Alligator mississippiensis: one gene and its partners. The protein of the gene in region 1 interacts with the protein of each later gene in a pairwise test. Links are inferred from orthologs where the notes say so. Each region holds a gene or a part of one and is shown in the gene's direction. Other genes may lie near its edges.

What was found. The genes of interacting proteins can lie anywhere in the genome.
Region 2: the proteins of LNX1 (region 1) and ATPAF2 interact in binary tests that used the Homo sapiens proteins (3 or more experiments, as listed by UniProt). The two-hybrid records come from large-scale screens. The link is inferred for Alligator mississippiensis from reciprocal best matches to the Homo sapiens genes LNX1 and ATPAF2.
Region 3: the proteins of LNX1 (region 1) and CDA interact in binary tests that used the Homo sapiens proteins (3 or more experiments, as listed by UniProt). The two-hybrid records come from large-scale screens. The link is inferred for Alligator mississippiensis from reciprocal best matches to the Homo sapiens genes LNX1 and CDA.

What each region holds. Positions count from the first base shown.
Region 1 is NC_081825.1:59,244,545-59,252,515, reverse strand, and holds the start of LNX1 (E3 ubiquitin-protein ligase LNX), read left to right. Parts: upstream 1-4,962; 5' UTR 4,963-5,094; intron 5,095-7,971.
Region 2 is NC_081836.1:54,885,836-54,893,212, reverse strand, and holds the start of ATPAF2 (ATP synthase mitochondrial F1 complex assembly factor 2), read left to right. Parts: upstream 1-4,359; 5' UTR 4,360-4,417; coding exon 4,418-4,499; intron 4,500-4,578; coding exon 4,579-4,623; intron 4,624-4,718; coding exon 4,719-4,864; intron 4,865-5,599; coding exon 5,600-5,697; intron 5,698-6,459; coding exon 6,460-6,540; intron 6,541-6,858; coding exon 6,859-6,971; intron 6,972-7,377. Other genes in the region: GID4 (glucose-induced degradation protein 4 homolog), read right to left, coding at 1,045-1,152, 2,184-2,243, 3,946-4,134. UniProt on the Homo sapiens protein: Plays a role in the assembly of the F1 component of the mitochondrial ATP synthase (ATPase).
Region 3 is NC_081836.1:5,533,647-5,540,793, forward strand, and holds the start of CDA (cytidine deaminase), read left to right. Parts: upstream 1-4,129; 5' UTR 4,130-4,186; intron 4,187-4,886; 5' UTR 4,887-4,920; coding exon 4,921-5,107; intron 5,108-7,147. UniProt on the Homo sapiens protein: This enzyme scavenges exogenous and endogenous cytidine and 2'-deoxycytidine for UMP synthesis.

The sequences.
Region 1 (7,971 bases):
TAGGTCCCCCATGACTACTGCCTCCCTAGTCTTTATTGTCTCTGAGAGCTGCCTCAGGAGTTCCAAATCTAGTTCTTCCCCTTGGTGTGGGGGTCTGTAACAGACCCCTACCACCAAATCTCTTTCCCCTTGACTCCATGTATCCTAACCCACAATCCTTCTACATTCTCCTCCTCCAATTCCATTTTGATAAGGGTCGATGTATAACACTCATTGACATAGAGCGCAACCCCTCCCCCTCTCCTCCCCACTCTATCCTTTCTGTACAGCTTATAGCCTTCAATGTGTACTGCCCAGTCATGGGTAGAGTGCCACCAGGTTTCTGTTAACCCGACTAAGTCATAAGTGTTTTCTGCAAGCAGGAGTGCTAGTTCATCCTACTTGTTCCCCATGCTCCTAGCGTTGGTGTATAGGCACTTGAGCCCTGTGACTGGCACCTTTGTTGCCCCCTGGCTCTGATGCCCAATGGGCCCCTTATTGCTTACCTGCTTATTGCTTACCTGTGCTGTTCTGCTGGCTGTTCCATGGATTGCAGGTTCCTGATGTTCTCCTTCTTCTTCCTCCCTGTCCCCCATCTGAGCTCGTTTAAAGCCCGATGTAAGGGATCAGCCAACCTGTTAGAGAAAAGACTTTAACCTTTCACTGAGAGGTGAAGTCCATCACACCCCAGGAAGTCCCTTGCCAGGAAGTGTGGGTCGTGGTCCAGGAAACCAAATCCTGCGCTATGGCACCAACTTCTGAGCCGCAGGTTGACCTCTCTGATGCAGGCGCTGTGATGCCTACTGCAACCTCTGACCGGGAGGATGGACAAGATGACCACCTGTGCCCCGTCTCTCTAAGTGGTGAGGCACAGAGACATAGGGCTGTGCCAAGCTCACAGCTGTAGCCTGTCCTCACCCATGCAAAGATAAGGGGGCTATGTGCTGTCCCCCTCCTTAGCTGCCCAGTGCTGTGCCTCTGGAGGAGCTACTGGCTCTTCCTGGGGATGACACAGGGTGCAGCAGGGCAGGCGCAGGGGTCCCAGGGGCTCCATCCACTCCAGTCTGGCAGTACAGCCAAGGCTGACCCCGCTCTCAGCCCCAGCTCTGGGCACCCCTGGCCAGTGTGGGGAGGCAGCCAGGGCCAGGGTGGGGTAGAAGCCATGGTGGGGAGAAAGTCGGTGTGGGGAGGCAGCTGGGGCCTGGGCCAGTGCAGCTGGGAGGCAGTTGGGACAGGTGCCAGGGCCAGGAGGCAGCTGAGGCAACCAGGTCCAGGGCCAGTGTGGCTAGGAGGCTTCCAGGGTCAGGACTGGTGTGGCTAGGGCTAAAAGGCAGCTAGGGCTGAGGCCGGTGCAGCCAGAGCTGGGAGGCAGCCAGGGCTGGGGCTGGGAGGTGGCCGGGACTGGGGTGCAGCACCAGGCAATGCCGCTCCCCCACATGGCCCTTTTCCTTCCCCCACTCAGACTTTCTCATGGGGGGTGCGTGTGTACGTCCGGCTGTTCACTGCCACTGGCTTCACGTCCAGCCACTCACCACCCCTCCCCCCACCCCCACTGTCAACGCCGCTGCTGGCTTCTTCAGGGTAGGGGGCCCCAAAACTATTTCTTACAGGGAGACCCAAAAAATGGTTGGCTGGCGCTGTCAGCTATTTGCTCCTAAGGAGTTCACTTTCTATACAGGTATTGCTTTTATTTTCTGCCTTTTCATATGGTTCAAACCTGAACCATACAAACTACTCAACTCATATGCTGTTATTGGTCAGTGGCATCTGACCAAATGCATCACCCCCAGAACAAGTGTAGAGCTTTTTCACATTTGAAATCTAATGTTAAAATGAAAGGGGAAAGTATCTCTGTGAATTTGGATAATATACAACTATTGCATTCTGTTGAGGGGATTGATGGAAACAATTTCAAAAACAAATATTTATGGGGGTAGACCCAGTGGGGTGCAGTGGTTCAGTTGCACCCTCCTCTACTCCCTCAATTTCTTCTCCACCCAAACTTTAAAACCAACTGGTTGGGAAGGGCAGTGACATTTCTATTCAACCAGTGCTGAGAGAGTCAATTGACTTCGTGGCTCATTGTCATCTCCCTGATTCCTGCTTATCTTTTTCCACTCCACAGGTGTTAATAACTATTTATCCATTTCATGAGTGACTGGTGCCTCCTGAATCTGGAGGCGGCCCTGTCATGGGGGGGCACCAGCCCTGCCTACAGCATTAGTGTCGGCCATCAGGGAAGGCACCAGCCCCATAAGGGGGGGCATGTGCACCCCCATGTACCCCCTTACCAGTTGCCTATGATGCTTTTTAAAGGTCTTGATGTTTCATTATTCAAACAATCCTTTCTTCTGCAGTTTTATGGTCTGTTAGAAGAGAGACATTACCAGAAATGACTATTTAATAGCCCTGCAAATTTGTTTTTAGCACTAGATAAAAACCTTTACTCAGGTGTGGTATTATTAACACAGGTGTAGAAATAACTGACAGTAAAGTATTGGAGATACTGTCAAGACACTCAAGGCTAGATTTTGTTTTTATGAATCTGAATCAAAGATATGCATTTAACTATAGTGACTACAGAACTAATGACACAATATCTTTTGACTATTTTAACTATTTTTGCCTAGTTTTTCTTTAAATTTTATATAGAAGCTAGCAAATTAGTGCACATTCCAATAATTATATGTGTTCTTGCTTTGATTTTAAGCTAAATATTATAGTGCTATGTCCCTAGCATATTAGTAAAACTTCAAGTAATTGTGCTTTTACTTCATAAATCATAGAAAATTAGGGTTGAAAGGGACCTCAGGAGGTCATCTAGTCCAACCCCTGTTCATAGCAGGACCATCCCCAACTAGATCATCCCAGCCAGGGCTTTGTCTACCCGGGTCTTAAAAACCTTCAAGGATGGAGATTCTATAACCTCTCTGGGTAGCTTGTTCCAATGCTTTACTACCCTCCTAATGAGAACATTTCCCCTAATATCTAACTGAAGCTTCCCATGCTGCAGCTTGAGATATTGCTCCTTGCTCTATCATCTATCACCACAGAACAGTCTAACTCAGTGGTTTTCAACCTGTGGTCCCTGGCCCCTTGTGGGTCCAGAGACTATGTCTAGGCAGTCCGCAAAAGATTACTATGATCAATCAAAAGTATGTGAATACCCACATTTACAATTCAAAGGAGTCTATACCTCCATTTGAAATATTTTAGGGTTCCGCAGATGAAAAAAGGTTGAAAACCACTGCTCTAGCTCCATTCTCTTTGTATCCACCCTTCAGATAGTTGAAGACTGCTATTAAGTCCCCCCTCAGTCTTCTATTCTCCAGACTAATAATCCCAGTTCCCTCAGCTTCTCCTTAAATGTCACATGCCCAAGTCCTCTAAACATTTTCACTGCCCTCCTCTGGATTCTTTCCAAATTCTCTACATCCTTTCTCTAGTGGGGAACCAAAACTGAACACAGTACTCCAAATGTGGTCTCACCAGTGCTGAATAGAGGAGAATAATCACTGCCCTTGATCTGCTGGCAACACTCCTGCTAATGCAGCCCAGTATACTGTGAGCCTCCTTTGCAACAAGGACACTGTTGGCTTATATTCAGCTTATTGTCCACTGTATCCCCCAGGTCATTTTCTGCAGATATATTTTCTGCTTAACCAGTCAGTCCCTAGCCTGCATGGGATTGTTCTGTCCTAAGCGCAGGACTTTGCACTTCTCCTTGTTGTATCTCATGAGATTTCTTTCAGCTCAGTCCTCCAATTTGTCTACGTCACTCTGAATCCTAGCCCTACCCTCCATTGTATCAACTGCTCCCCCCAGCTTGGTGTCATCTGCAAACTTGCTGAGGATGCACTCTATGCCATATTCCAGATCGCTGATGGAGTCATGAAGACATGAAAAAAATATCTTTTAAAAAAATATTTAGTTCCTACACTACACCTTTCTTCTGCAGATACTGAAATGTTTTAAAGGCATTAAAATATGTACCTGTAAAAAGATACCCATCCTATTTTATACATAGATAAACTGAGGCATGCAAATTAAGTGTCCTGCAGAATAGCTGTGTGGGGGGGGGGAGGAGGCGGGGACAAGAGGGTATGGAGCGAGGGGAGGGCTTGTTTTGGTTTTTTGTACCTTTGTTATGTAAAAAAGGCTTGAAAGGTCTATGAGGTATTTTTACACTTTATTTCCTGCTTTTTTTTTCTATTAGAACAATCTCTGTCTGAGAGCTCTATAATGACTGGAGAATTAGTGAAGTGGTCACATTGCAAGGCTGAGGAAGTGAAAGTTGAGGAACAGAAATGATTTCTACTCAAACTCATTAAAAAGTCTTTGTTTTTACTAACACCTGTGTAATTACAATGACTGGCTAACATTATGCACAAGAGAAGTCTTTGTTTAAAGTCAGCTCACTTGTCCTGGCAGTTAAGGTTTAGGCTTTCACAATGAATGTGCTCACAATCCTCCCAGAGGTGTTTCAGTAAAAAGCAGGAAAAAACAAACCTACCCAACCTGATGTTCCTGACACCTGGGTATTGCAAATTAAGAACTTATCATGTCTTATGTTTTGCCCTGTAAAGAAATTTTAAAAATGGCACAAAAGATCTCAGCGAGCTTTGCCAGTGTCAGACCAGTTCGGGACAAAATAATTTGCCACTGATTCAATTTCTAGGCTTTTTAATTCAGCTCTGATTCAGAGTTAGTGGCAAGAAGGTCACACAATAAGGGAAAATGTAACTCAAAATGCAGCTGAATGCATGTTCAAAGGAAAAGGAAAAGCTGCAAACAATTGTTTAAGCAGTCTGTGCATGCAGGTATGTGCAGCCACCCTGCCTCTAGGATAAATGACAGGTAGGGCGCGGTTTGCTGAACCTTAAATTACTTAGGTTTATGCAGTGAGGCTTTTCTTTACTACCATTAGTGATGTCACCCATTTCCTTGTGTGCCACAACCAATAAAAGTTTTCTTCCTATAGAGATCAAATTGAGTCTTAATGCTCTGTTGTTGGGCAGCATGTTCAACTGCTAAAGTCCATTGATTTCTACCTACAGAAAGCTGGTCACAGCCCACAAGCCCATATATGACTCAAAGGCACAGGACGACAGAGAGGTAAGTATAAACCATCTTCTGTTTTGACTTTTTATTATTCAATTGTCTCTCACTTGTTTGAAGAAGCAAATGTGAAAGGAAATACTCATGTGAACAAGCGTTATACTTTTTTAGAAACAAAACTTTTAAGTGTGGGCCTTTGTAACTATGAAGTAAAACCATAGCAAAACAGCAGTGAATTTTCACTGCAGCATACATTTATGGTTCAGTCCCTCTGTAACCTGATGCATTCTCAAAGAAAGAAGGCCTTGCAACTTAATTGCAGTGTTACTGCATTCTATCCTAACTGGTTTTAAAATACTAGTCTAGCTGCCAAGGATAGTAGCAAACTTAGTTCACTAAATTCTGTTAGCTAGTCTCGTTTTGTTTCTTCTTTTTCCTGAGAAAACTTAAGTCTTTGGTGAAGAATATTAAAAGTGAATTGATGTGTATGGAGAAAAAGTTATTGAACAAAAACTGCTTCAACAAATTGTTTGCATGTTTGCAAATTTCTGTAAACCCACCCCCACTCCTGCCCCTCCCCCCACCATTTTACATCTCATGCAATTTCATTAAGCCATTGGTGTAAATTAGGGCTATATTCTTCCTTGCCCTATCCCCCAGTCTCAGGGTTTTAAATGCCTTTTTAAAAAACGAGTTCAGTTTGGATTGGTGTCTTTTGGCACAAACTGTCTTCTATGTGGTTAGTCTTACAGTCAAATTTTAACTGAAAGCAGCTGAAGTTTTCCTCCACAAGCTGCAATACTGTAGGCAAAGACAGTTGTCTCAATTCTGTTAACATTTATTCAGATACATACCTTTGCATGATAATGAATTCATTTCAGTGCGTCTGCTCACGTCCATAAAGCTGAGCATGTGTATAGGAGTTCACAGGTCCTGAAATTATATTGGAATATAAATATTAAGGCCCAATTCAGCAATACAGTTAAACAAACTTAAACTTAAATCATCCATATGCAGCAAAGTACTTACGTACCTGGAGCCAAAGAGACATAGGCAGGTGTCTAAGGTTAAGCAAATACTTAAAGGTTTTGTTGATTGACCTCTAAGATTTCTTAAACATCCATAAGAATCGATTAAAAATAAATAAAGTATCCAGAACACAGATGTAATTCATGCTTTTCCTTTACAGTAATGTCTAGCAGAATTATTCAGCCATAAATAAAAATAGCAAATCTGGTCTTACAAGTTCTCAGTAGGAGCTATATCATCCAATCAGTTTTTACATGTAACTACACTGTGGGATACTTTGTAAAAATGGAGCCTTTCCCTAGGGATCCTTCTGTTTGCTTAGTAAGGTTCTTGCAGTTACTACTGGTAGCAAGACAACTCTGGCTACGGACAGAAATTACACATAAACTGGTATAAGTGATAGTAAACCAGGTCAAATCTGTAACACAACAGAAGTTCAGTTCACATAAATCACTTTAAAATGGTTGAAACCAGTTTAAGGTAAACCTGGATGGATGTAGTATCAGACTTAAATGATTTAGGTTAAGTCGGTTTACTGAACTTCTGTCCCAGATCCCCTCCAGATTCAAGTTAACTCACAGTCCCCCAATATCCCAGGATTCTTTGCACTTCCCCTGCAACCCGCCTCCCTCTTGCAGGGTTGGTGGCTAACATTGGTCCAAGCTGTCTGCTCTAGCCAAGTAAGAAGGTATGCTTTAGCACCCCTTGGCTTCTGGCTTGGGCCACTGCAGGCATGTTGCTGCATTTCCAGAATCAAAAGTGAATGTCTGTTCACTTGCTTTTCATTTCAATCTACGTAGCTTAGACTACCTTTGAAGATTGAATTGATTTAGCCTGAGGCTTTTTTACTGTCTGTACTTAGCATGATAGTTTATAAGAACAACACTTTACGTTATCTGTACTGGAAAAAAACCCCAAAAGCAATAATCTGTAAATGAAATGTTAGGATTCATCCTTGGGTTATGTAAGGTATTTGGAAAGATGCTTTCCTGTGAGGGGTTCTATGCTAAAATACTCTAATCCACTTCTTTCCTGAGACTGGAGTTGGAAAATTCTTTTTAAGGAAGTAATCTGTTAGTAATTTACTATTTTATACTCATCCACCCAAAAAACTCTGAGCCTATATTTATTTTCCAAAAATATAAATTGAAACAAGCTGGGAAAGCTAGTCCATTAGTTAGCCTTTGCTTGCCACCTGAAAATACTCCTGCTGCTCCTGCCAGTTCCTTTTATTCACTTGGAATCCTCCTCGATTTCACTAAATGAACACTGTTTCATAGAGGGTTGTGAGTTTTGTTTGGGCGTTAACTACTGCAGGCCTTTATTGCAGTATTGAGCTGGAAAAATAAATGTTTCTGGCTCAATTTAGTTCTTGTTTATCAGAAAAGTGAATTGAAATAGTCTGTGTGAAAAGTCTGAAGTATCCAGTCGCTCCTGCAAGACAAAATTTTTGTGCAAAATGCAAAAACAGTACATATATGGGATGACATGATATACTCACTTAAGTTGTAGAATATTCAATTATTGCATTGCACATAATACATAATAAATCAAGCAGTCATTTTATGCAGTAAGGCAAATAATAAAAGGCTTATCTTGCTGAGAGTGCAATCCAAAGAGATACTGTCAGACGTGGACAATTTGAAAACATGGCCTACCTTTTAATATAGCCCCAGTCTTTCAGACTGATTTGCTTAGGTAGACCCCATATGGCTTATCAATTACATGGACCAAAGGCCTATCAATTTCAGTGAACTCCCTGTAGGCAAACCTCTTTGTGGGGTACAAATAAGCCCATTTTTGGTGAAAATGCCCACACACTGAAAGCATGACAACATTCAAATTTTGCACTAGCTTGAAATGCAAAAATAATTGTTTCACCAAAATATTCGCACAAAGAAAATG
Region 2 (7,377 bases), on another chromosome or scaffold:
GAGTGGCACAGTCAGATAGAGGCCACGGAAAGAGAACCCTCCCCACCAACACACACACAACCCTCCCCGCCAGCCATGCTCTCATTCGGTTGCAGACCATCTGGGAGAGCATGGCTCTTGTGAGATGAATGACTTTCCATTCCCAGGGGTGTTGAGTCAGCCCCTTCCACCAACCAAGGACCCTTTTCTAACGAATGGATTCACTTGTAGTGAATGATTGCAGGTAGAAACATACCAACTGACTGGAGAAACCCAGCATCCCGTCAGCCCTTCCTATAGGGACAAATGACATCAGGGCCCTGTATCACACCAGCACCATGCACCACTTCTGGGGAAACGGCTGCAGTCGCAGCTCGCAGGCGAGAGGCTGTAAACCACGCATCCCTCCCAGTCCATGCTGGGCGAAGGTAGCGAGGGATCCATGCGGCATCCCCGCTCTGTGCAGGGGCACCTCGCCCCTCCCAGGCCTGTGCTTGGCAGAACCCCCTCTGCCTGCCCCTCCCTGCAGTGGAACGTACTGTTGACAGCAGGTGCTCCACTGCGCCAAGCAGAGGGAGGAGGCACCCCCAAAGACCACACTCCCTCCAGGTGTGGGCCCATCTGCCAGAAGCCCATGCCACTCCTCCAGGCTGGCAGCATCTCTGAGCCCGCCAAGGCCTTTCCTCTGCTAATCAGAGGACCCCAAAGCTGCCGCTCCTCCAAGGGCTTGTTTGCCCTGGAGACTGTGGCACAGACTCAGCTACTCAGGTACTGCCAAACCAATGCCATCTGTTAGTGCCAAGAAAAGAGCTTCCTCCACCTGCAAACTGAACTGCACGAGTCACTGACACAAGGGGTCTGGTCTGGGGCAATGACAGTAGCAGCCAGGGAGCAAGGAGGCAGCAGAAAGCAAGGTGGAGCAACCCCCAAAACACTGTTTCAGGCCCTCTCTGGCCCCCAGGCACAACCCCGGCCCTTTTTAAAGTCTTGGCACATCCCCTTTGCCCACGAGGTGCATACAGGGCTGCTATGAGCCTCTCTGCAGCTTCCAGCATGCTCGCTTACCCAGTGCTTGCGGTCTACGTCCTCGTCCGCATCCCATTTCCGGGTCAGGAAGGGGTGCTTTTTGCTGATGATCTCCCCCTCAAAGAAGGTGGTGAGGGTTGGGTACTCCTAGAAGCAAGCACACACACACACACACACACACAGAGGGGACTGAAGGGCATTCGGAAGATCTTGCATCAGAAACACCAGAGATCTGCCTATGAGGAACCCATTCAGCAAATGCTTTCATCAGTACGATGCCATGTGGTCTGAGACACGGCTGCGATGCCCCCTCCTTGTGCTGAGCAAATCATCTTATGCTTCCCTGTATATTTGCACCAGCCCAGCCCTTCTCATCTCCTCCCCCAGCCACCTTTCCAGGCCTTTCCCCTGCTCCTGGAACATCCCAGAGCAATACTGAATCCAGAGGTCTGTTGTGTGCAAGCTCAGCAGACCCTAGAGCAGAGGCCAGCTGCTGCGTATCACCTGTTAGAGCAGGCAGCCTGCCCCTGGAGAAGCCTGTAACCAGCATTAGAACAGTATCGGATGACCAGAGCATTACCCCAGTCACCTTGCTGAACATCTACTGAAAACAGAAGCAGCTCCAAGATGCTGAGGGTGGAAAGGTGGAGGTCAAAGAAACTCCTACCTGTCTGTTTTTAATTTAAGCAACATAGAGATGCTCGTAGCGAGCTCACTGGTCACAGCACAGCACTCAAAGTGACATCAGGGACAAATTTGGACCCAAGTTTTCCACAAAGTTGGTTACACTCATCTCCCACAGCAATGCCGCCAAATGCAGGTGACTGCTCATTACACCAGCTTTGCTGCGGGTCAGCCGGCTGGACCTTTATCCCTCGACACCGAGGTGGTTGACTGCGTTAGTCTGGAGTGAAGGCAGGGTGGCACCTGAGAGCCTACCTAGTTCAGAGGCATGAGATTTTGTCAGCAACAACCTACTTCACCAGACATTTCATCAGACCAGTGCACTCCTAGCGTCTGGCAAATTAGGTTGCTGCTTAGGAAAGCTCAGGCCTCTTTGAATCAAGTAGTCTCCAAGGCCCAGCCCTGCCCTGCCCTGCTAGACCAGTGTCTAGAGACCTACTCCCTGCTTCCAGAAGGAGAAAAAGATTCCTAGTTCCTCTGCAGGAGGTGCTCACCTCTGTAAGGCCTTTGATCTTCAAGTATCCGCAGAGGTAGGAGTTCTCCATGTCCACGTGCTGGGGGAGAGAGCACAGAAACCGTTCGTGAGCCTATGTCCCCTCAGCACACGGCTCCGGAGGCTCAGCCAGGGCTGCACGGCTCAGCTTGGGTCGCGAGATCACACAGCGGTGAGCAACATGGAATGAATCACTTCCAGGGACCTCGCTCACCAGCCTTGACCAGACGACCATGGAACATCTTACCTGCTTCCAGCAAATTAGTAAGACCTTGGTCTGCCACCCAGGGATCAGAGAGGAAAAGGAGTCAGAAGTGATTCACTCGGCCCCAGTGCCTCAGAGACAGATCTCGGATGAGATCCTTGTCTCCTAAACCTGCTCCAGCCACATGCTACCAGTGGTTCAAAGAGACCAGAGGGGATGTCCTCAAGCAAGATCTGTCTCCACTTCCCCTGGCCCTGACCGCCAGCTTTGGCTTTGAAGTCAACTCTGTTAACACGTCATCTCTCCTCACTTCCGCAGCGTTCCCAACCTCTGCTCTTTACCCACCCAGACACCATGTCTGGCCCTTTACGAGCCTGTCCATCTGCGCTGCACACAACAGCCTTCTTGGGATCCTCTGCCTTCAGAAGCAGCCCTCGCGTACCCTCAAGTGCCTTACTCACAATCCCAATACTTTGCTTTCTCTCCTCTCTGTGACTGGGCTTACACCCGATTACCGAATCCACCTGCCACAGAGAAGCAAGGCACTGAGCTCTTCCATCACGAGCCCCGCGGTAGCTACAGAAACTTTTGCTCTGGACTCTCCAAATGACCAAGGGAAATCTCCAGGCACGTGGAAGAGTCTGGAAAACGCAGGCGTTGAATGGGAAGGAGGACCTTTCCCACACGGGACCTCTACAGATGGAACAGCTGCAGGTCTCACGGAGGACACGGGCAGACACACGAACATGGACGTGCACACGCGTGACACGAGGGTTAAAGCCGGGAGCCCCGGCAATCTTTGGGAGAAAAAGGGCCTGTAGTGAGGCCCATCCACCATGGGATGTCTCCACTGAAACGAGCGGGCTCAGGTACGCTCGTGCGGCTGACAAGCGCGGCGCGGTCAGCCAGGATCGACAGGGCGGTCCAAGCCCTCGGCAGGTCGGCTGACCTTGGGACTCGGACATTGCTCGACCGCCCTGCCCGGGCACCGGCCGCTCTCACGCACTCGCTGCAGGCGGCCGAGGGCCGGCCGTGCCTCCGCAGCCGGCTGGAAACAAAGCCACAGGCGGCCTCACGAGAGGATCGGATATCCAACGTGCTTCTTTCCACACGACCCCCCGGCTCGCCCGCGCTGCCCAAGGCCGTCGCGCCCGCGACTAAAAATAAAAGCCGGGCGGACGGTGACCCCGCAGAAGGCTGCGGGGACGAGGATCCCCTTGATCCGGCCGCGGCCGGCAGAGACCACGGTGCCCCCGGCTGGGCCTGGCCCGAGGAGCGCCCTGGGGACGCCCCGGCCCCCAGCCCCACTGGAGGCAAAGGGAGGGGGACCTAGCAGCCCCCCGCCCGCGCCGGCTTCAGCCCCCGGGCCCACTGCCCTGGGGCATCTCCCTGGGGGGCAGGGGGCAGACAGCAGAGCTGGGGCAGGCAGTGAGGGGCAGGTAGCGGGGGGGGTGCCCCCAGGAGTGGGGGGGGGGCAGATGACGGGAATGGGGCAGGCGGGGGGGGGAGTTAAAATGAAGCGAGGCTGACATGAAGGGGGGCCGCCCCCCGCGCGCACCTGCATGACGACCTCCACGTCGTAGGCGTTGCCCTTGCTGCGCTGCTGCCCGCGGAACTTGGCGCCGCTGTAGAGCAGCGAGGTGGCCACGCCGGGCTGCGCCGTGTTGATGGGCGGCGGCGGCACGAGGCTGGCGGCGGCCCCGCGCCCGGCGCCCCCCGCGCAGCAGCACTCGCTGCGCACCGGCATCGCCCCGGCCCCGCCCGCCGGCCCGGCCCGGCCCGGCCGCCCCGGCCACCCCGGCCCCGGCCCGCCGCTCGGCCTGGCGCCGCCGCGCGCTCCCATTGGCCCGCCGGCCCGTCACGTGGCGCCGGCGCGCCGCGGGGGCCGCCGGGACGCGTAGTTCCCCCGCCTCCACTCCCGGCGCGGGGACGGGGCGGCGCGAGGCACAAAGCGCGTTTGTGAGGCGGATTGGCCCCGCGGCGCGGCAAGATGGCGGCGCCCAGGGACGGCGCCTGAGCGGGCCGCGGGGATGTGGCGCGGCTGCCGGCGGCTGCTGCGGGCGCCGCTTCCTCCTCCTCCTCGCCCGGCGCGGGGCTACGCGCCGCCCGCAGGTGCCGGGGCAGGGGCAGGAGCCGGGTGGGTCGGGACGGGGCCTTGTCCCCGCTCTCACGGGCCCTTGTCTCCCTGCAGAGCGGAAGCGGTTCTACAAGCGCGTGGGCATCTCGCGGGGCGAAGGTGAGTGGGGCCGGGGGGAGGGTGAGCGGCCCCTTCCCCCGCCCGCCCTCCCTCCCTGCGGCCCCGCGGACCTCCCCCTCTGCCCGCCCGCCCAGGGGGCTTCGAAATCAACCTGGACCAGCGGAAGCTGAGGACCCCCCAGGCCAAGCTCTTCGCGGTGCCCAGCGAGGCCCTGGCCGTGGCCGTGGCAGCCGAGTGGGACGCCCAGCAGGACACCATCCAGCTCTACGCCATGCACCTGGTGAGCGCCGCGGCCGTCCCGTCCCGTCCCGGGACGCGCCTGCCACGACTGTTTTGCTGCCCCCGCGCGCGCAGATCACGGCTCGGTCTCTCCTCTGCCCCTTGCTAGGGGCCGTGGCCTCGTGAAATTCTCCGGCCTCCCTAACGAAGCCGAGGAGGGGATTCTTCCGCTCTGCTCGGCCTCCGTGAGGCCACAGCTGGAGCGCGGCATCCCGTCCCAGGCGCCGCGCTTCAAGGAGGACGTGGGAAAGCTTGAGAGAGTCCAAAGAGCCGCCCGCGAGATCGGAGACTTGCGCGGCAAGCCGTGCGAGGAGAGGCGGAGGGACCTGGGCCTCTTCAGCCTGGGAGAGAGAAGGCTAGGAGAGGACGTGGTAGCAGCTTATTGCTGCATTAGGGGAGTACATCAAGGGCTTGGTGAGCAACCCTTCACCAGGGCATCCTTGGGGAAAACCAGGGGTAATGACCATAAACTCCTGGAAGACTGTTTCAGGCTCAACATTAGGAAAAACTTTTTCACGGTTGGGGCGTCCGGACTGTGGAATAAGCTCCCTCCAGAGCTGGTGCAATCGCCTACCCTGGAAATCTTCAAGAGGAGACTGGTTGGTTTCCTTGCTGGGGTCGTCTGACCCCCCGTTGTCTTTCCTGCCGGGTGCAGGGCGCTGGACCCGATGATACTGCAAAGTCCCTTCCAGCCCCTTACATCTGTGAAACTCTGCTTCTTGCCTCTTGTCTGCAGACCACGCTCTGCAACACGGCTCTGGACAACCCAACCCAGCGGGACAAGACGCAGCTCATCCAAGCGGCTGTTAAGTTCCTGGAAACGGACACAATCTGGTAGGAGACCTGCCGGGTTTGCTGTTCGCTGGGGGAACACCTGGCCAGGCCAGGCCGGACCGGCTGTGGTGGGACTCGGGATCCCTTCCAAGAGGATCTATTCGAGCCAAGCCACCCTGCATTGTTTCTGCACCAACAGGCCTCTATCTCCTCCCCGCTCTGTGCCCCTGAGGAGCTCTCCCAGGCCTGCGCTTCTCCCCATGAGATGTTGCCGGTGGTCCTGAGTATCTGCTAGCGCGGCATTGCCTTTTTCCTTGTCTGCGCTTGGTGTTACCCTGCATTTGCCCTGAGCACTCCTTTACCTCAGCTGAGCCCGTATTCCTGCCCCTGAGCTCTGGGACTGCTGAGGGCTGGACCAGTCCTTGGCCTCTAGGCTAAACTCGGAGCAGAGACCTGCCTGAGCTGCTTTGGGGCTCCGAGGTGGCCTGATGGGTTTGTTCATGCTGGGGCCTGAGCTGGCTGCCTGACCTGTGAACGCTGTTCCACTGGAGCCCCACAAACATTGCTGGATTTACCACAGAGCAGAAGCAGGCTGCATCCCTTCCACGTGGTACCTGGGCTGGCAGGTAGCTGCGCCCGCAGGTGGCCCCTGTGGGGCCTGCAGCTTCTGCCAGTGTGGAACTGAGGGCAGCCCTGTGCTCCTTGCAAGCTGGCATCTCCTGCCAGCCCAGGAAGGGGCTTGCATTTCCAGGGGGGTTTTGCGGCACGTGGCATTAAGACAGCTGGTGGTTTGTCTGTGACGGTCGGTTCTGGTGGTCCTAGTTACAGGGTGGAGGAGCCAGCTACCCTGGTGGAGCTGCAGAGGAACCAGTGGGACCCCATGATCGAGTGGGCCGAGAAAAGGTAGGAAGCCAAAGGCTCTGTCTTTTCTGCAGTGTGCCTAAGGCGCTCATCCCTGCAATAGCTCAGATGAGCACTGGTGGCAGTGGGCCAGTGTGCTGTGTGTTCAGCTCGTCAGCCCTGAGAGGAGGGCATAGAGGGGTACTGAGGAGGCTTTGAAGGACAGAGGCTGGTCTTAATGGCTTCAGGTGCCCAGCAGCAAACAGGGAGGGGAGGATGGTGTCGCAAGACTTAGGATGCTGGGCTGGAGGGGGCATGCAGCGAGCCCAGCCTGCCACAGCAGTGGGGTTCCTGATGCCAGCATACATCCAACTCTTCCAGGTATAACGTGACGATCGGCTCGTCGACCAGCATCACTGGGCCCACCATCCCTGTGAGCACCAGAGAGACCTTCAGCAGCCACTTGGCCTCGTACAACATGTGGGCGCTGCAAGGTAAAGGGAGCAGCTTCTCCATCTGTCTGTCCTTCCAGGCATCAGCCCACAGGGAAAACGTTCCCTCCCCCAGAGGCAAATGACAAGCCAGTTAAGCAGAGGAGGGTGCTTTCGATCAACAGGGTGGAGAAGGAGACATCCCACCTCAAACTTTCTTCCACTGCCTCTGGGCAGGGCCTGTCTAGGCCTGGCACAGGGGTCCCTGTGAACTTAAATTGCAGCGTGTTACACCCTGTTAGTAGAGAAGGGGAATTCCCTGGGTCTGAGCTATCCCAAATGCATAGGTATCTCCTTTAGCTCACAAAGGCGACCCACCATCATATGGCAGCCTGGCTGTCCTGGCCATGTGCTGCTGCCCCAGTTCCAGAGAACAAGCCCAAGCCCACCTCCTTGCCCAAGCCCAGCA
Region 3 (7,147 bases), on another chromosome or scaffold:
GGTACCACGTCCTGTGACACCAGCCACCAGAACTGGACAGCTCCTTGCGCTCTGCTCTTCCTTATATATTGAAGGGAGCTCGCTGCACTGGTGCTGGACCCCGGACCCAGAGCCTTCCCCCCCTAGGGAGGGGAATCTTACCCCTTCTCTCCTCTGTCACTTCAACTACCCAGACTGCTCCTGAGCATGTTAGTTAATCATTGCAGGAATCAGGTGTTCATCAAGCCCAAGCCTCTTTACTCGAGTCAGAGGCCAAGTGCCAACATCCTCTCCACGGCAAGGGATGTGGTGTCACACAGGGGACTCTAGTGTTGCAAGGAGTGCACAGTGATGGAGCAAACACCTCAGCTTAGCACAAGCCAGTGCAAATGTAAGTCTGCCCAAGCATAACAGCCCATGGGGCTAGTGTGGTTCATGCACACCCATGTCTGTAGCTAGCAGCACACAAGGGAGTGATGTAGCTGGCATCCTGTGCCTCCCCACCCCGCCAAATGGCCAGATGTTTGCATATAGCTAGATCCACTGACAGCAGCCTCTGGCAGGAGTCCAGAGCAGGCACCTTAGCCACTCTGCCACCGGCAGAGGCAGCATGAAATGATGGTTCAGATGAGACTGCCATCCAGAAGGATCCAATCCAATGAGCAATGTGTTGACATGAGGCCTGCAGAACTGGGGCTTGCTTTTCCCACCCTGTCTCTGCCCTGGGTGACACTTATCCATGCAGAGCACCTCTGGAAACACGTGCACATCCCTTGCCATCCACTGGGGCCTGCCTGCCTGTTCCTATGCACCATGACTCTGCACACCCAGCTTTTAACATAGCTGGATTTTAATCACACAATGCAATCTTAATCGCACAACATTCCCTTTTCCTCCTATTAAATCAATGGGCACATAATCTGTGATTATAAATGCACTCATTTTCCCTGAAAGATAATTACAAAGAATGCAGTTGTTCTGCTCTGGGTCTGGTATTTAGATGGTTATTTTTATTGCATCATTTTGCAGGTGCTCCAGCCAGGAGAGAAAAGTTAGCCCAGAAGCTGGCATTGGTCAGCTCCTGCTTTTCCGAATTATTATCGGTGGCAGTACCCTAATACCTGCTCGCACCAGTCAATATCAAAGCCCTGTAGTGACCGATTCTGCCTAAACCCTTGGCCTGGCCACAGATTTTAGCTGCTTCAAATAACATTTTTTCTGTGGAAAATGTCAATAACATTGCAAAAATAGAGTTATTCTCATCAAATTTTTTGGTGGAAAACCTACTTTCCATCCAAAACAGTGATGCTTCCACTTGTCAGGCAGAATTTTGTTTTAAATATCTGATGAAGAACCAGTTTTTTTCAGGAAAAAGGACTGCTTGAAGTGAAAATATGGTTGTTTTTTTTTAAAAAATCATCAAAAAAACACTGGAAGCAGTATTAGAGTGATATTGTAGCCATGCTGGTTCAAGAAATATCAGTATGTGAGTAAAGAGGTTTTTTCCGGGTGAAGGGGGAGGGAGGAGGCTTCTGGTAATGTTGATGTTGTAACCATGCTGGTAAAAATCTTTACACTTTACTGGAAGATATTTTATCACCCCTGTCCAAGACTCTTGCTGTTGTCAGAAATATATTATTTGTGCAAGCAAGAGAGAGGAACAGCGGGACGGGGAGGGCACAGAGCAGAGAATAGATATGATTCGACTAAGGGGAGGCAAGGAAGGCAGTGGCAGGGGTGGCATGAGGACCCTGGCACCCAGGATCGCATCTCATTTACTGATCAACACTGCCCCTCACTAGCCAGTGCTATTCATTAGTCTGCAGGCACGCTGTAGCAGTCTGAACCCCATTTCTGCAGCAAGTGGGCTGTCTTGGGTGCTGTCCTGGAACGGCAGCTCTGCCTCTGCTTTGTGTTTGAGTAAATGGGAAATTGAGCAATGCAATCATTGCAGCGACTTCTATGTTGGTGTTTTAGATACACAGGTTTGCTGGTAAGTCACTGGGCTGGTACAGAGGTATGGTAAGGGACCCGTTTCACAGTGTAAGCTGGCAGGGTGATTCAGGGAAATATATTTGCAATCAGCAAGGTGTCTTCAAGGATTAGAGCTGAAAACTATGAAGAAAAGGAGAGGTTCCTCCCAGTCCTGTAATGACCTGTCTGGATCCCGCCCCACATCTAGGGTGGCCATCATAGAGGACAGTCCAGTTGTCCTCTGTCCTCTATTGATACGAAACCAACTCTATTTTTCTTGAAGAGAAAAATAGAGGCCATAAAGGCGTCAGGTTTCATATCAATAGAGGACAGAGGACAGAATAGCAGAAAACTGGAATGTCCTCTATGATGGCCACCCTACCCACATGCCAACCAGCCGATCCATTGCCCTTTCCCTGGGCATTATTACACCTTGCATAGCCACCTGCACTAGTGCATGCAGCTCCACCGTGCTTGCTCAGAGGGGCTGGTTGAGTGTCCCCCCTCCACCGCTCACATCCTTTGAGGGAGGGGGACACAGAGCTTTGATTAACCTCTTGCTCTCCAGCAGCTGGGGCCAGGCCCTGACCTGTTACATGTCGTGTTGCCCAGTCACAATATGCAATGCCAGGCTTGTTGTGAAACCCAGTTCAGTGGCTGGAGTCCGTTAAGGTCACAGAAATATTTAACTGCAGCATTGCTCGGGGCAGGTCTGGCTCAGTGTGGCAGCTAGAGGGAGTTGTCCAAGGGACGCAACTTTTGGACGCAAAGACCAGCTTCCCCGGGCTTGGCTCCAGTGGGCTTGGATAGAATCTCAATGCAATGATTTCAGACATGTCTCCCCAGGGGACTTTTCCTTGTCAGCCACATCTCTGCATATCAAAGCCTTTGCAGGCACCTTCTCTCCCCCACACAGTCTACAACCCATTTTACTGCTATTCCTTTGCATCACTGTGCTCCTAGAGGTCCCAACTGGAAGCTAAGCCCCAGCTTTGCTGGTTGCTATGTTTCCCAGGGCCTGATATCTTCTAGGTGCTAGGGCAGGAGCTGCTGAGGCCCTGCCTCTGTATCTCCCCCTGAGCTGGGCATGCTCTGGGCTCTCACTGCTGAAGTCTTGGAGCCCTCTGTTCACTGCTGCTGTCTCCGTCTCACTGCTCGATGTCCTGTGCTGCATCAGGGTTGCCTGTGTGGCTGTTAAGAGGCTGCTAGACAATGGATTTGGATGGGATGGTCTGGGTAGGGGGCTGGATGAGAGACCTTCCCAAATCTGACCCCCAATTCTGCAGCAAGGAGACCAGCTGGGCCTTTAAAATGCTGCGTTGTATTTGAATGACTGGGAAACTGAGCCGTGCAATGGGGGCAGCCACTCCTGCACTGGTGCACTGGCGCTGCTTCTAGGGGGAAGTACAGCATTGGGGCTTTGATCCCTTCCAGCCTCCTGCTTCTCCACCGCTCTAGGATCCCCAGCTGTTTCAGCGGTGGGTGTGGTCGAGCCAGGCACAAATCCAGCTGTTCCAGCGGTGGGTGTGGTCGAGCCAGGCACAAATCCAGCTGTTCCAGCGGTGGGTGTGGTCGAGCCAGGCGCAAATCCAGCTGTTCCAGCGGTGGGTGTGGTCGAGCCAGGCGCAAATCCAGCTGTTCCAGCGGTGGGTGTGGTCGAGCCAGGCGCAAATCCGGCTGTTCCAGCGGTGGGTGTGGTCGAGCCAGGCGCAAATCCAGCTGTTCCAGCGGTGGGTTCGGTCGAGCCAGGCGCAAATCCAGCTGTTCCAGCGGTGGGTGCCGTCGAGCCAGGCGCAAATCCAGCTGTTCCAGCGGTGGGTGTGGTCGAGCCAGGCGCAAATCCAGCTGTTCCAGCGGTGGGTGTGGTCGAGCCAGGCGCAAATCCAGCTGTTCCAGCGGTGGGTTCGGTCGAGCCAGGCGCAAATCCAGCTGTTCCAGCGGTGGGTGTGGTCGAGCCAGGCGCAAATCCGGCTGTTCCAGCGGTGGGTGTGGTCGAGCCAGGCGCAAATCCGGCTGTTCCAGCGGTGGGTGTGGTCGAGCCAGGCGCAAATCCAGCTGTTCCAGCGGTGGGTGCCGTCGAAGCGGCTGTTCCAGCGGTGCCCCGGCCGGGCGGGCAGGCTCCGCCCGCGGAGGCAGCAGCCGCTGGTCCCGGGGCGGAGCCGGGGGTGGGGGGGCGGCGGGGCTCCGGCTGCGGACGGCTCCTCTCCTGCCCCGGACGGCACGGACAGCCCAGGTACCGGGCCCGGGAGGGATGGGGTCCCACAACCCGTGCCCTGCGACAGCCCCTGCAGGCACCGGGCGGGCAGGGAGCGGGGCCAGGCAGTGCAGGGCACACTTGCACGGCGCTCGCCTGTGGGGATGCTGCCAGCGCACCCTGGTGCCAGCCTGGCCCCCAAGTCTGCCCCACCGACACACACAGCCGACTTGCTGCCTGAGTTGCACGCTGGACTCGCTCACTGAGACACTGAGTCGCACACGGGACGGGCTTCCTTGCGCACCGAGTGCACACCGGACTAGCTCCTTCAGACACTGGGTCGCACATGGCACGAGCTTCCTTGTACACCAAGCGCACACCGGACTAGCTGCTTCAGACACCAGGTCGCACATGGGCTGGGTTTCCTTGCACACCAAGTGCACACTGGACTAGCTCCTTCAGACACTGGGTTGCACACAGGATGGGCTCCCTTGCACACCAGGTGCACACTGGACTCACTCCCTCAAGCACCAGGTCACACATGGGACTCGTTCCCTTGGACACCAAGTGCACATGGGACTCACTGTGTCATGCACCAGGTCACACACAGGACTCACTCCCTCAGACGCTGAGTCATTCATGGGAGTCATTCCCTCAGACATCAACTCACACACCTGACTCACTCTGCCTTGCACGATCGCTCTGGCTCACATCCCCTTCCTCCTCTCCCTTGCTGCAGGTACCAAGAGGGAAGGATACACCTGAGTGTGCCCATGGCTCAGGTGCCGGGCAACTGTTCCCAGGGCTCTCCGCCAAACAGTGCCAGCTCTTCGGTGGGACCCGAGCAGATCCAACACCTCTTGCACATGTGCAAGGAAGCCAAGAAAGCAGCCTATTGTCCCTACAGCCACTTCCCAGTGGGAGCAGCTCTTCTGACTGGTGACGGGAGGATCTTCTCTGGTAAGTGAGGATGGAGCCGTAACATCTCAGCCGCTTGTCAAGCCGTGCCCTTCCCTGCCTAGTAGAGCTTCTTCCCCTGAGCTAATGTAGCTACACCGCTTCCCTTTGCAGAGCTGGCTTGGAGATCTCTGCAGAGGGCTGCCCCGTGCTCTTTGGACTCTGTTATGTTCACAGCTAACTCAGGGTATCTCTGCATCTGTAGTATGCCACAGAGTTACAACCCAAGTGCCTCTGCATGGGCAGAGACATCTCACATCCACAGAGTGACGCCTTATAGAGGTACAGATGCTGGGTGCCGGGGTCTGGAAAGCAGCAGGCTGTGCAGTAACAAGGTTTGGTCTGTACTACGAGCACAGTACAGTGGAGAAAGCTTTGCTCTGTGCTTTTTGTATCCTTACTTTTTATCTCCCGATGTCACCTCACTTGGCTGCAGGGGGACTCGAGATTTCACCTGTCTTTTCTAAGCTGAGGGTGGTGTTACAGGTTCCCCTAAAACCATAACATGCAAGCCATCACTCATTAAAAAGTGTTAGCCCGTGATAAGTCCCCTCTAAATGTTTTACAGTTGTGTCGCTTTGAGGTGACATTTATCTTTGAACCATTTTACCCGGGTCATCCTCGGGTACTGTTCGAATGCTCTGGGGAGATAAAGCGCTCTTCTCTCATGCCTCCAGCATCTCAGGGTGCACCTCTGTGGGATGGTGCTGGCTGCAAGGTGAAACCCGCTCCCGTCCCCAGAGGTGTGACCCTGACTGCTCTGCACCCAGGGGCAATGCACTTCAACCGTTTGCTGCTTGCTCTGGCACCTCCGTGCAAACAGCAGCAGCAATCGATTCTACTACCTCCATGGTGCTGGGTCGCAGCGCTGCCCTGGCGTGGCATGCAGTGAGCCTGCTGGGTCTCAGCGCTGCCCTGGTGTGGCAAGCGAGCCCGATGGGTCTCAACTCTGCCCCAGGATGGCATGTAATGAGCCCGCTGGATCTCAGCTCTGCCTTGGTGCAAGCACTAACACAAGTCGCCCCTGCCCCAATCCCAATTCAGTGAAACACATGCAAAATTTTGGTCCTTTATTTATCTTCATTGTATTCTCTTTTCCCCCCACTCCGTTCTCTTTACTTCTCCTGCCACCCACTTCACTTCAAACAGCCTTTTTTTCTCCAAGACTTTTATCTTCCCAAGCCAGAGCCCGCACGCTGGTTTCTTTGCCTCCCAGCTACAACCCCCCTGTCCCCTCCTTTCCCACCCCAGAGCCCCGGCTCCTGGCCAGGCCCCTGCGTGCCAGGCTCTCCAGTGACAAGTCACAGCTGTGCAGGTGTGAGAGGGCATAAAGCCTTAACCTGGGACTGCTCTGAAACTCTTCTCACTTTGTCACCGTGTAAAAACCCCAAAAGTAAAATGTCCCAGAAGTGACCTGTAACAGCACCCTGAGTTTCAATCCATATTCAGCCTCCACCTCCTCTTTCTGACAATGGCCTCACCTGCTTCCCCACCCACTCCAGCACTGACTAGGACAGGGAACTAAACAAGAAAGCCTTTTTTTGCATCCCCGCCTTTGGAAAGTCCAGTGCACCCGCTCAGATTGGTGGTGGCAACGGGGAGGTTGTTTCCCTCGCTGTTTTTGTTATGTTTGAAAAGCTGAAGCTCTTCGGAGGCAAACAGTGATGTGAAACTTTGTGTGTGCAGAGAAATGCTCGTACAAGAGGACCCTAAAGGATCAAAGCTTCAAGAAACAAACCACCCGCTCCCCACACACACATGTGCTGCTTTTTAACAAAAGATTGCTTGATTTTTAAGCCAGTCTCATAATTTTTGGGAAGGCAGGCAAGGAGGGGACCCAGATTCCTGACTTGGATCTCGTTGTTTCATTGTGTTCTTCCATCTCTCTGCATTCACCAGTTGATTCTTGTCTTATACCTACATGATAAGCGCTTTGGGGCTGGAACCACCCTTTGCGGCATAGTGAGTTCTGGGGCTGCGACTGGGGTTTTTAGGTGCTGCGGTAGTACAAATACTGATGATTTCTGAATGGTGGCTGGCCAG